Linked DNA regions of Schizosaccharomyces pombe. The protein of the gene in region 1 interacts with the protein of each later gene in a pairwise test. Each region holds a gene or a part of one and is shown on either strand. Other genes may lie near its edges.

Region 1 (5,372 bases):
AAACAGCAGGGAGAAGCAAAGTCGATAGTTGTTTTTTATAGCGAGTTCATCATTAGTATTTTTTGTGAAGACAAGCTTAACGAGTCTCCAGAGAAAATTATAGACAATAATTACAAGTAGTAAGATTGGCATATTTTCACGAAACGCGGAATACTGAAAATCAGCGGAATCGACTTTTTGTCCAAACAACCACCCAGGCTTTAAATATTTTTCAATGTTTTTGTAATTGGGATGTTTTGCTGACGCCTAGTTAGTTGCTTACTTTATTTCAAATTGATAAATAGAAAAGGCTGATTAAAGCTTTTGACACTTACGAGAACTAACATAATGAATTTTAAAACAAGCAATTGTTAGAATCGATAGAATGACAGAAAAGTAAAAAATAAATTCTATGGAACCAAAAGCGCTCTTTTCCGGAACTGCGCTTCGAACGGTCAAACGTGAAGATGAAGATGGATGACTTGAACCAGAAGTCGAACTTAACCGTGAACTTTTAGAATTGGGTCTTTCAGTATCTTTGGTCGAAGTCTCAAGAACATCAAATCGAAATAAACGTAACATCCTAGAAGTCTCCTACCAACAGCAAAGAAGATGGTCGGTTCTCAAAATATCATAGAGTAAACAAACCTAGTGGTGTTCACTAGCAAAATGCAAGACACTGCGTAATTTACACTTTGTGTCAGCTTCATAGTCCGTAAATAATTTTAAGAGTAAGGTAGAGAGAGTATGATGAAATCAATTATATTTTTAAAAATAATAAATTCAGTTTGTATTGTTTATTGGAATGAATAAAATAGTCAGCACTATACAAAACGCGCTATTAAAATAGAAATATTAATTAAGCATCTTTAAAGACTAAATTTTGATTTTGGTAAATTAGCAACTTATATATTGAAAAATGTTTTACATTCGTTTGCAATAATTCTGTATAGCCCATTTAGATCTCTAAAATCGTTAATTTTTATAATTAATTAATTAATTTATTTTTTTTTGGATATGATTTGCTCAATGATTGCTAAATTATCACATCTAGTCTAAAAATTCAAAAGATAATTTCAAGTTAACAAGCTCATATAATAATTAAATGTTCTATTAGAACGTCGTATATATTGACCAAAGTATTACAAAAATAAATAAAAATAATATATACTATAGAAATTAAAATAAACAATGACTATATCTTGCAATTTATATGCTCCTAAACCCAATTTGATCGCTCTCCTAGTTCATTTGGAAGAATTGGAAGAAGATGATTTTGCTGGTCGAATTTTAAATTGAGGGGGCTTAAATTCTACAACATTGCCATTGATTACTTGACCATAGCCTTTTTTAAAAGTTTCCCCTTTCTTAGCTAAAATGTCTTCAATCGTCACCCGTTCTTCAGAGAATATTTTTAAATGATCAGCCATCAAGTGCCGATTTTTGCACTTAGGACATTGAACTAAAACGGTCCCATTATGGTAGGCCTGCTTGGAGAAATTGTGATTTGACCTAGTGTTACATCTTTCATTTGGTTAGTATCCTTCAATGAAATTATAAATACTTACACGGTACAAGTAAAAGAAACATTATAAGTCGGTTTAGGTTGTAATTGATCAGCATCTGATTTTACAGAGGGAACACCACTTGCAAGATCTTTAGCATCGCTTTGAGTGAAGCGTTTGCATTGCCAATTAGAAATGTTTCTCACATTCGGGGAACAGAAAAGTAAACTTGAAACCTTTACCTTGTTTGAAAAATTTTTTAACTGCAAATTTCGTAAACAGAATTTTTGAGTATACCGTGCAAAGCTCCACATTATGTTTGAAAAATTTTTGTGTTCGGAGAATGTTGTTCGTAGTTAGTACCTTCTACCACCTTTTGTACCATTACTTCCGTCTGTGCTGGCGTTTCTTTATGCAAACTCATATGCCCATATATTTAGCTTTTTTGTTGAAACTTAACTTTAAATTCCATTATTAATGCAGCGGTCAGCGAAGTTAAAAATTCGAGCGCCACGAAAAGTAAGTGTACCTGATGCATGCTGTCCTTATTATTTTCCTCACATACTGACATTTAGTTTTCTGCTAACCAAGTAGACTTTGCTACACATTGGGAAGTCTTGCAGCGAGCTATTGGGGATATATTTCAGAAAAGCACATCTCAATTATCGTTTGAAGAGTTGTATAGAAATGCATATATACTTGTTCTACATAAGTATGGAGAAAAGCTTTATAATCATGTACAGGATGTTATTAGATCGAGGCTTAAAGAAGAAACTGTTCCAGCTATTTACAAAAACTATGACGCTTCCTTATTAGGGAATGCTCTATTGGATATTAGAAAAAATGATTCCTATTCTACTTCATGGTCGAGATCATTGGAAGCGGCTCATAGATTTTTATCGTCTTTAGTTAATTCCTGGAAGGATCACATTGTTTCAATGCAAATGATATCTAGTGTATTAAAATATTTGGACAAGGTTTATTCAAAATCTGCAGACAAAGTTCCTGTTAATGAAAACGGAATATATATCTTTCGTGAAGTTGTTTTGTTAAATAGTTTTGAAATTGGAGAGAAATGTGTCGAAACTATTCTAATTCTGGTTTATCTTGAACGTAAAGGGAATACAATAAATCGACCCTTAATAAATGACTGCTTAGATATGCTAAACTCTTTGCCTTCAGAAAACAAAAAGGAAACTCTTTATGATGTTTTATTTGCTCCAAAGTTTTTATCTTACACAAGAAATTTCTATGAAATAGAATCATCAACAGTCATCGGCGTATTTGGAGTTGTGGAGTATCTGAAAAAAGCAGAGAAAAGATTTGAGGAAGAAAAGGAGAGGTCCAAGAATTACCTGTTCACAAAAATAGCTAGCCCCCTTCTATCCGTTGTTGAAGATGAGCTTTTGAGTAAACATTTGGACGATTTGCTTGAAAATCAATCAACTGGCTTTTTCTCGATGATCGACTCTTCAAACTTCGAGGGTCTTCAATTGGTTTACGAAAGCTTTTCTAGAGTGGAACTTGGCGTGAAGTCTTTAAAAAAATACTTGGCGAAATATGTAGCGCATCATGGAAAATTAATCAATGAAACTACTAGCCAAGCGCTTGAAGGAAAGATGGCTGTTGGTCGTCTATCATCTAATGCTACAATGGCAACATTATGGGTTCAAAAAGTTTTGGCCTTATGGGATAGACTAAATACAATTATAAGTACTACTATGGATGCTGATCGGTCTATCTTGAACTCTTTATCAGATGCTTTTGTTACGTTCGTAGACGGATATACCCGAGCCCCCGAGTACATTTCACTATTCATTGATGACAATCTGAAAAAAGATGCTAGAAAAGCAATAGAAGGCTCTATTGAAGCAACACTTCAAAATTCTGTTACGTTATTTCGGTTTATTTCAGAAAAAGATGTTTTTGAAAAATATTACAAAACACACCTTGCAAAAAGGTATGCTTTAATTGTTTTTACTGTCTTTAACACTTTTAGGTTGTTGAATAATCGATCAATATCTTCCGATGCAGAGCTCGGAATGATCAGTAGGCTGAAACAAGAAGCTGGTAATGTTTTTACTCAAAAGCTCGAAGGAATGTTTAATGGTAAGTATTCAGACTTTAGCAAGTTTTTTTGCGTTCCCTTATTAATGCTTAGATATGAATCTTTCACAAGAATTGTTACAGGAGTACAAACATAATTCTGCGTTACAGTCGGCCAAGGTTAGTGGAAATTTTTATTGATAATCCTTTATACTAACAGTTAGCCTGCTTTGGACTTAAACGTTTCAATTTTGGCTTCTACATTTTGGCCCATCGATTTATCGCCTCACAAAATTAAATGTAACTTTCCGAAAGTTCTCCTGGCTCAGATAGATCAATTTACGGATTTTTATTTATCGAAACATACGGGGAGAAAATTATTGTGGTATCCTTCTATGGTATAGTAAACTTTTATTTGCTTGTTGCGTCACACTAACAATCCTATTTAGGGAAGTGCTGATGTCCGTGTTAATTTCAAAGACAGAAAATATGACTTGAATGTATCGACTATTGCATCTGTTATTCTATTGCTTTTCCAAGACCTAAAAGAAAATCAGTGTTTAATTTTTGAGGAGATTTTGGAAAAAACCAATATAGAAGTTGGGGATTTGAAGCGCAATCTTCAGTCCCTTGCTTGTGCAAAATACAAGATTTTGCTAAAGGATCCAAAAGGAAGGGAGGTGAATGCAGGTGACAAGTTTTATTTCAATGAGAACTTTGTTTCAAATCTCGCCCGGATTAAAATATCGACAGTTGCTCAGACTCGTGTTGAGGATGATAGTGAGAGAAAACGTACATTAGAGAAGGTAGACGAGTCAAGGAAGCATCAAGCAGATGCCTGTATTGTTAGAGTGATGAAGTATGTCTTTTTCCTTTTTTTTTTTTTTCAAACATTTTTACTAACAGTAAATTAAGGGATCGCAAAGTGTGCGAACACAATCAGCTGATGGCAGAGGTTACAAGACAGTTAAACCCTCGTTTCCACCCTAGTCCGATGATGATTAAGCGACGAATTGAAGCTTTAATAGAGCGGGAGTACCTACAAAGACAAGCCGATAATGGTCGCATTTATGAATATTTAGCATAGCAGCCTTAACTGTTACACGAAATGCAATATTCGTATACGAGAAATCATGTTTAAATGGAAAGATACCAATTTGTTCAAGATGATATCTAGCAAAAGCTTTGTGATTATAATGACACTCATGAATTTTACACCAACTTCCTTTTTATTTTTGAAAAAAAGAAAATTTTAAGTAATGCTATAAGAAGGTTTGAAAACAGGTAGATTATATTCCAAATCAATCAAAATTTGATACATTAATTCTGCGAGCAGATAGTAGAGTAATGAGTTTAAATTACATTGTTCCATATACATTGTACAAAAAGACCAAAACAGAAAAACCCTCAGTTTAAAATAGATTAAGGTATTTGATCAACGATAGATGGGAAGTGTTAACCTAAAAAATTATTATGGGAGGAAGCGAATTCGCCGTAAATACACTATCCTACACAGTATGCTTTTGATGATGACTCTACTAATAACATCGAAAATACCAGAGCAAGTAAAGCTCCTTATAATCTTTAAGGTGTTAATCAAATAATAAAGCTATGTATTTGATTTAGTATTGAAACACCTGGTTGTTTACATTAAGAATATTCTTCTTTCCTAACGGACTACGCTATCCTCTTTAGCAATCTCGGAAGAACCCCTAAAAATATCTACCGTTCAATGCTATTCTGTATATTCTCCGCTTAATTCTATTTGTTTAGGAAATTGTATAAATAACCTCAAATATCTTAACGAACCCCACTTGTTCGCCAATTTCATTTAATTGGTTC
Region 2 (6,461 bases), on another chromosome or scaffold:
ATTTCTTATCCTTTGACTTTCCACATTTTTAACGGTATTCGTCACTTGATCTGGGATACCACCAAGGAGTTAAGTCTAAAGGGTGTCTATCGTACCGGTTATGCTGTTCTTGCCCTTTCCGTTTTGACCTCTGGCTATTTTGCGATGATTTAGGTGAATGGAAACAAACCTTATCTTTGCTCGTTTTGTAATTGCTTGTCACGGTTTCTCTAGTGAATTTACGAAGCAGCATCATTTCTCCTATAATTTTTCCACTACAATTGGATCTGTCCTTGATACACTATAAATTACCGTGTATATCGAATTCTTGTATTCATTCCGTACGTGCTTTGAATTTCTTTATGACCAAAGTTTCCTATTCAATTTTATTATTTTCAAATATTGAATTTTTAGCGTATGTAAAATGTGTGATTGGTATCGTGAAACAAAAGCTTAATAAATAATTCACCATGTAGCAAATATTTTTTCTTATACATATCTATTAAAGTATCTCTTCATAAGTTGAATAAATTAATGTCCTGAATTTTTTGTATATAGTCGTTGTTATGGTCATTTGACTGCACGTGCTTTTCCTTTCTTGTGAGTAGTCCTTGGTATATCAATAGGAAGAGATTTAAACTCCGCAGTGGACTCTGACACTTTGGAATCTTTTTCCTTTCTGTGCCTTCGTTGAGGTTGTTTAGAAGCTTGTCCCTGTTTTCTATTCGTAGAGGTATCTCTTTCAGTTTTAAGGATTCCAAGTTCTTTCTGTACTCTCAAACTCTCCTCCTCCCACCACTTTTGAAACTCCTCTTCCTGTTGTATCTCCTCAATTGTTTTTCTAAAAGATGATCTCCTCTTTTGACTCTCAATTTCTTCTTTCTGCTCAGTCATAATCTCCGAAATCGATAAAGGTTGGCTATTTTTTGGTAAAGAAGCAGATCGGGGAGATGGTTTAGTAAGTAGGTTCCAACTAGTTGGAGAACCATTGGAAATGCGCTTCTTCGATTCTTGATAAATTACTTGAGATGAACCTTCCTCTCGAGCTGCCTCTCTAAGAATACCATTAAATGACTTTTTCACTCCAGTTGATGACGAAAAACTGCCCCTCTGATGTGTTGCTACAGACCAAGGGTTTGAGTGATTCGATTTACCCAACTCGATATCGATGTGGCCAACATTTGTTTTGGAAATAGGCACTTGCTTTGAAAGCTCCTTTTTTTTCTCACGTTGGGATTTTTTAGTTGGAGCTTTCATAAATCTAGAATCAGACAAAACCGTAGTAGTTGAAGCATCAGCTTTCTCTTGCTCCAGCAATTCTCTAAGACTAGCTCTAGTAGTGTTGTTATTATGAGAAAGATTTTCCCTATTCCTCCATGGACTCGTTTTGTCAAAAGTAATTGTTGCAGTAACAGGTTGATCAGCCCCAGGACCATTTAATTGTGTTTTATCCCCTCCTGACGAAGCAGACTCTATATTGTTTTGAATTTCAACAGAAGCTCCTGCTGTCTTTGTAATGCTCGTAACGTTAACAACATTTGGTTTAGGAGACTTCTCCTCAGCATCTTCCTTATTTAATGAATCACTTTGATTACTTGAAGGAACAATTCCAGATTCTAAAATTACTGCTGAAGTGCTGCATCGACGATCTTCAAAAATAGACCGATAAGGGGAATCGTCCCATAATTGAGAACTTTCCTGGGAAAACAAGTATTCTCTGAGAACTTTAAGCTCATAATTTCTTTTTTCCATCAACACTGGATCTCTTATCAATAATCTATTAGCAATCTTGCTAGAAGGAAGATGTACTCGTTGATCAGAAAGCAATTCAGTTAAACGTTGAGCGACTTTTTTTAAATGGAAACCATCCCATTCACTTATACGATTTGCTTCCAAAAAGAATTCAATATTGTGACAAGCATAATCAATACATCGTGAATAAAGCTCCTCAGCGTGATAACTAAGTGAAAGATCCATTAGAGTAGGTAGAGTTTTCAAATTTAAAAAGCGAAGTAAGGATTGCTGGGCTATGCTTTTTAGTTCAAGAAAAAGAAGCTCGTCTGCAATAGACAAAATTTCGAACATAGTTTCCAACCAATTATGAAAATCGGATTCTTTCAAATCGTCAAAAAGCTCAACTTTTAAGTCACTGTATACATGACGAAGAACAATTGACATATGCTCAACAGTCAAATGAGACAAATTGACGGTTATTGGGATGTCAAAACTATTGCTTTCCATAGAAACAAATTGGAAATAAGAACTAAAGTATTCACTGCGGAGACTTAAAAAAAGACCATGTGCCTTGAGCTCTCCATCTTTAAGCTTTATTACTGTATCCATTGTTTCTTCGCATAAGACATAAAAATTATTATATAGTTGCAGAATGTCATTCGTTAAAGAAAGCAAAGGTTGGCGGGAAACACTAAACGGTAAAACCTCCGCTAAATGAGGTAACTCCAGTAAGTTTGCAAGTTTTGAAAGGTTTTCTTTTAAAGGTGAAAAGCGTGAATCAAGATGCCATGGAGAAAGCAATGTATCCGTGTACAAATAATGCAAAAGAATAGCAACCGCTAAAGGAGGAATATCTTCAACTCTAATTGTTGAATGAGATTGAGTGATTTCTTCAATGTAAATGATGTTGGAGACACTCGATTTCTTTTTTTGTAGCAATAATTTTCTCAAAAATGAAGATCGAGCACACAATATGAACTTATGTGAGTGGAACATAGAAGTACCACAATAAATAGTAACATCAGAAAATGATTGCTTATAATTTTCATAACTAGTAAGAATCGGTATAGATCCTTCAAAAAGTAGCTGCATCTCATTGCTGGATGCAGCGCGGTCTTCGTCAAAAATAGGGACTCCGTCTTCATCTTCGGGAGGAATCAAACGTGGTTGTCTTACATGTAAAAGGTGGTCATAGGGAAGTAGTGAGCGCAAAAGATCAATTAACATATTCGAAGGCTTGTAGATTGGCGGTGGAAGATAATCATTTCGAATTGCAAAAAATGATCCAGAAGCGCTCGCACGGACTCCAACAACCATTTGTAAATTTTCAATTCTATTATATTTGTATGGTCCTCTAGAATACGGGCTACTAGATGACTTTTCTCGCTTTTTTGACCTTAACTCCCGTTTCCAACAAGTGCCATTTCTAGTACATAGTATTAAAGAATTATCAGCGGTCCACGCAATATCTAAAGCTGCAAGGTCTGAAGATTCAAAAATCCATAATGGAGTAAATTTGAATGAAGTTCGTGTGGAATTCTTGGAAGAGGTAGAATCACGATCAAGTAAAAGCTTCATATCAAATTCATAGACTTCGCCTAGTTCTGTAAGCACGGCTAGTTTGTTTTCTGAAGCTAATAATTTTCTAACGTTAAATCTGGTGAGGGAAAGAGGATGCTTAGTTACCTTTAACGAACTACCAAAGTCAACGTTGAATGGCAATTTCACTTGATTATAATTGCAAAAGGCAATTATACTGTTGTTTTGTAAAAGGCATATCGTAGCACGAGTAGTACAAACGGCATGTATGACAGGCGATAATAAGCCAGCAACTCTCCTTGGAGTAGAAACAACTGAAATATGATCAGATATACCTAATTGGCCATTATTTAACCCCCAGCTGTAAATATCAGTGTCAGTCCAAGCAACGCTATAACTTTTTCCAGCCGCCATTCCAATTATCTGATAATCCTTGAATGCAGAGATACGCCTAGGGGTAATTTGAATTGGATCATCCTTTTTCAGTTCGTCATTAGAAAGTCCCAGTTCACCAGAACCATTCTTTCCCCACGAATAAATACTTCCGAACTTTGTAAGAGCAAGTGAATGGGTATGACTAACAGAAATCTGGATAACTTTATGAATGATACCAGGAATAGGAATAAAGTTATATTGAACGTCCGTGTTAAAACCTATTCTCCCTCCAGCACCAATACCACATACGTAAACATTTTGCGACGGCTCATCCGTTAGTACGACGCTGTGAAATTTGGAAGCCTGCACATCAAGGATTTTGTCTCGGGAAAAGAGTTGACCTGATGTGGGAGACTCTGTTTGGTTTTTCAGTAAAAACACTCTTTCTGGCGATGAAGGTTCTTTCCCATTTGCTATTCCGAGCGTATTGTTTACGTTAGTACCAAAGCCATAAAGTTCATTTCCTATTATCGGTAAGTCAAGAACCGGATGAATAGTGCTTGAAAGGACTCGTGATAAAAATTGAAATGGAGAAAGACCTTCTTTGTCTTTAATACGCAATGATCTGAAGGAGGGATCTTTTGATAAAAGCAAAGACGCTGCTTCCAAGTTGCCAACGTAGATTGCCCGATGCAACGCCGTATATCCAGATTCTTCATCTTGCACAAAAACATCAATGCCTTTATGCTGCAAAAGAGATCTAACAAAGGAATTTTTATTCTCAGAAACGGCGATGTGCAGCACGGTGCGTCCGTATCGATCTTTTTGGTTGATACGGAGTTTTTGTCCGCTCTTTTCCGAAAAACCCTTTCTAGGCTCTTTCACCTTTGAATCATCTTGCTTCAGTAGATTTTGGAATGAGCGAATGTCGTTGCAAAGGTAATACGCGAAAAGCAGATGACTCATTTAATCAATCGAGACTAAAAAAGGGCGCAATGTGAATTTATCATTTAATCAATCGATTACTCCATAAGAAATTTTCTCTCAAATCAATTAAAACGTTCCAGTTTTTTAACTTGACTGTTGCTGAAGAAAAAATGGAAGAAGAGTAGCAGTGGATGCTGGTAGTTGAATACCGACAGGTGCATTGATTTAAGCTATCGCTTAATATTTGAGGCAATTTTTGGGGCAATCTGATTTGATGAAATATGCCTGGGAGCATACTTTATTTATTCGCTTAAGCTGGAATGAAAGAGAGCATGTTACTTATGTATAAAATATATGAAAACAGAAAAAGAAAGAATAAAGGCATAAAAATGAATAAATAAATAAAAGTCATTGCCATCAAAAATTAATCTACATCTTTTAAAGTCATCTTTTTTTCTACCACTGTACTGATCTTTCGAGCGTGAAAGATCTTTCTACAATGCGGTCTGCACAGTGAATCAGTGGGATAAGGAAAGAAAAGACTAAATTCCCCTCTTCTCAAAGGCAAATGCTAAATAAAATCCTGCTGCTTCTTTTTCCTGTCCACCAATTCCACGGTGTCCTTCATTATCAACGACTTTCATTCGATCCATTAGGGGTCCATACGTTTCAGAGTTTTTCTCTTCATTTAAGATGTCCAAAAAAGGTTTTACCCATATTAATTCAAGATTGTATCCTTCGGCAACAGCACGAAAGGCTTCAAAAGGAACTACATATTCAGGAACATCGGTAACAGCATCCTCTAAATAAAAATAATATTGAATTCCATACGGAGGTCGAAAAGAGCGTGGAGGTGATTCAGGAAATCTGACTTTGTATATGTCATTTCCCCATTCTTTTTCTCCTGGTTTAAGCATTTTAATATGTTTGACAATTACATCGGAATTGGGAATCGTTCCTATCATTACTCCACCACGAGGAAGGCATTTAGAAACGTTCCCCAACAAGACCCTAACCTTTTCTTCGCTTTCAAATGCATAATGCATGCAAAACTGTAGAGAAACAACGTCAAATTTTCTTTGGTCTGGGGGAAGTAATTCGTTAATTGAGCTAGAAAAACAGTCGCCAGCGTAGAATAGTGCATCAAAAGAAGCATGCATTTCACGGTATCTCTTCTTGGCCTGATTTACGGAAACTTCAGCTATGTCAATCCCAATATATCCATCAATGCCAGCTTTGTCCCATTTAATTAAATCACCACCTTTTCCACATCCCATGTCTAGTACCAAAATAGGATAATCAGAAGCATGGGGTGCGAATTTTTGTATGAGAACAGATTTGATCCAGTTGTTAAACCTCTTTAGTTGAATAATAGGAGAAAATTGTCGTTTTTTATAACCCAAATCAGGACGCGCGTTATAGTGTGAACGTACCACATCCTGCGCATTACCATTGTTTTCATGCCTATTATAACCTCTGCGACCAGAGTTGTCATTGTTTTGGAAGTAATCGCGACGCCTTGGTTGTTGTTCAATTACTCGATTCATTTGTGCAGTAGGTCTCGCATATCTGCGATTTTCTGTTGGAGGCTGTTCCTCATGCACTCGGGAGTTCGAGCTGCTCATATCTCTTATTATAAATATTATTATAAATAAATGAGAATAGTTTCTTTCAAAGGTTAACGATCTTTCCATCATATGATGACTATCCATCGATCACAAACTTACATACAAATAATTTTCTTCAAAATAATTCAAAAAACAGAAACTTCTTTAAAAAAGATCAAAAACATATGACTTTTAAAACTTGCTTTACTGTCTTAGAGAAATTAGACTATATTCAATAGCATGAGGTTGCAGTGTGGTTGGTATACTGGCGAGAAAAGTAGATGTTGCAATACGAAGTGG

Evidence for each region. Proteins that work in one complex are often made in the same cells at the same time.
Region 2: the proteins of cul3 (region 1) and btb1 interact in binary tests that used the Schizosaccharomyces pombe proteins (3 or more experiments, as listed by UniProt).

What each region holds. Positions count from the first base shown.
Region 1 is NC_003424.3:485,205-490,576, reverse strand, and holds cul3 (cullin 3), read left to right. Parts: upstream 1-1,862; 5' UTR 1,863-1,961; coding exon 1,962-2,003; intron 2,004-2,059; coding exon 2,060-3,444; intron 3,445-3,483; coding exon 3,484-3,593; exon of another isoform or gene 3,594-3,645; coding exon 3,646-3,710; exon of another isoform or gene 3,711-3,754; coding exon 3,755-3,928; exon of another isoform or gene 3,929-3,979; coding exon 3,980-4,389; exon of another isoform or gene 4,390-4,445; coding exon 4,446-4,617; 3' UTR 4,618-4,854; downstream 4,855-5,372. Other genes in the region: gup1 (MBOAT family O-acyltransferase), read right to left, coding at 1-239, 315-561; TIM23 translocase complex subunit Tim15, read right to left, coding at 1,227-1,503, 1,548-1,798. UniProt on the Schizosaccharomyces pombe protein: Probable core component of multiple cullin-RING-based BC3B (BTB-CUL3-BTB) E3 ubiquitin-protein ligase complexes which mediate the ubiquitination and subsequent proteasomal degradation of target proteins.
Region 2 is NC_003421.2:129,649-136,109, reverse strand, and holds btb1 (BTB/POZ family ubiquitin-type ligase substrate adaptor Btb1), read right to left. Parts: upstream 4,716-6,461; 5' UTR 4,594-4,715; coding exon 550-4,593; downstream 1-549. Other genes in the region: sdh3 (succinate dehydrogenase cytochrome B subunit), read left to right, coding at 1-153; mRNA 5'-cap (guanine-N7-)-methyltransferase Pcm1, read right to left, coding at 5,097-6,179. UniProt on the Schizosaccharomyces pombe protein: Probable substrate-specific adapter of an E3 ubiquitin-protein ligase complex which mediates the ubiquitination and subsequent proteasomal degradation of target proteins.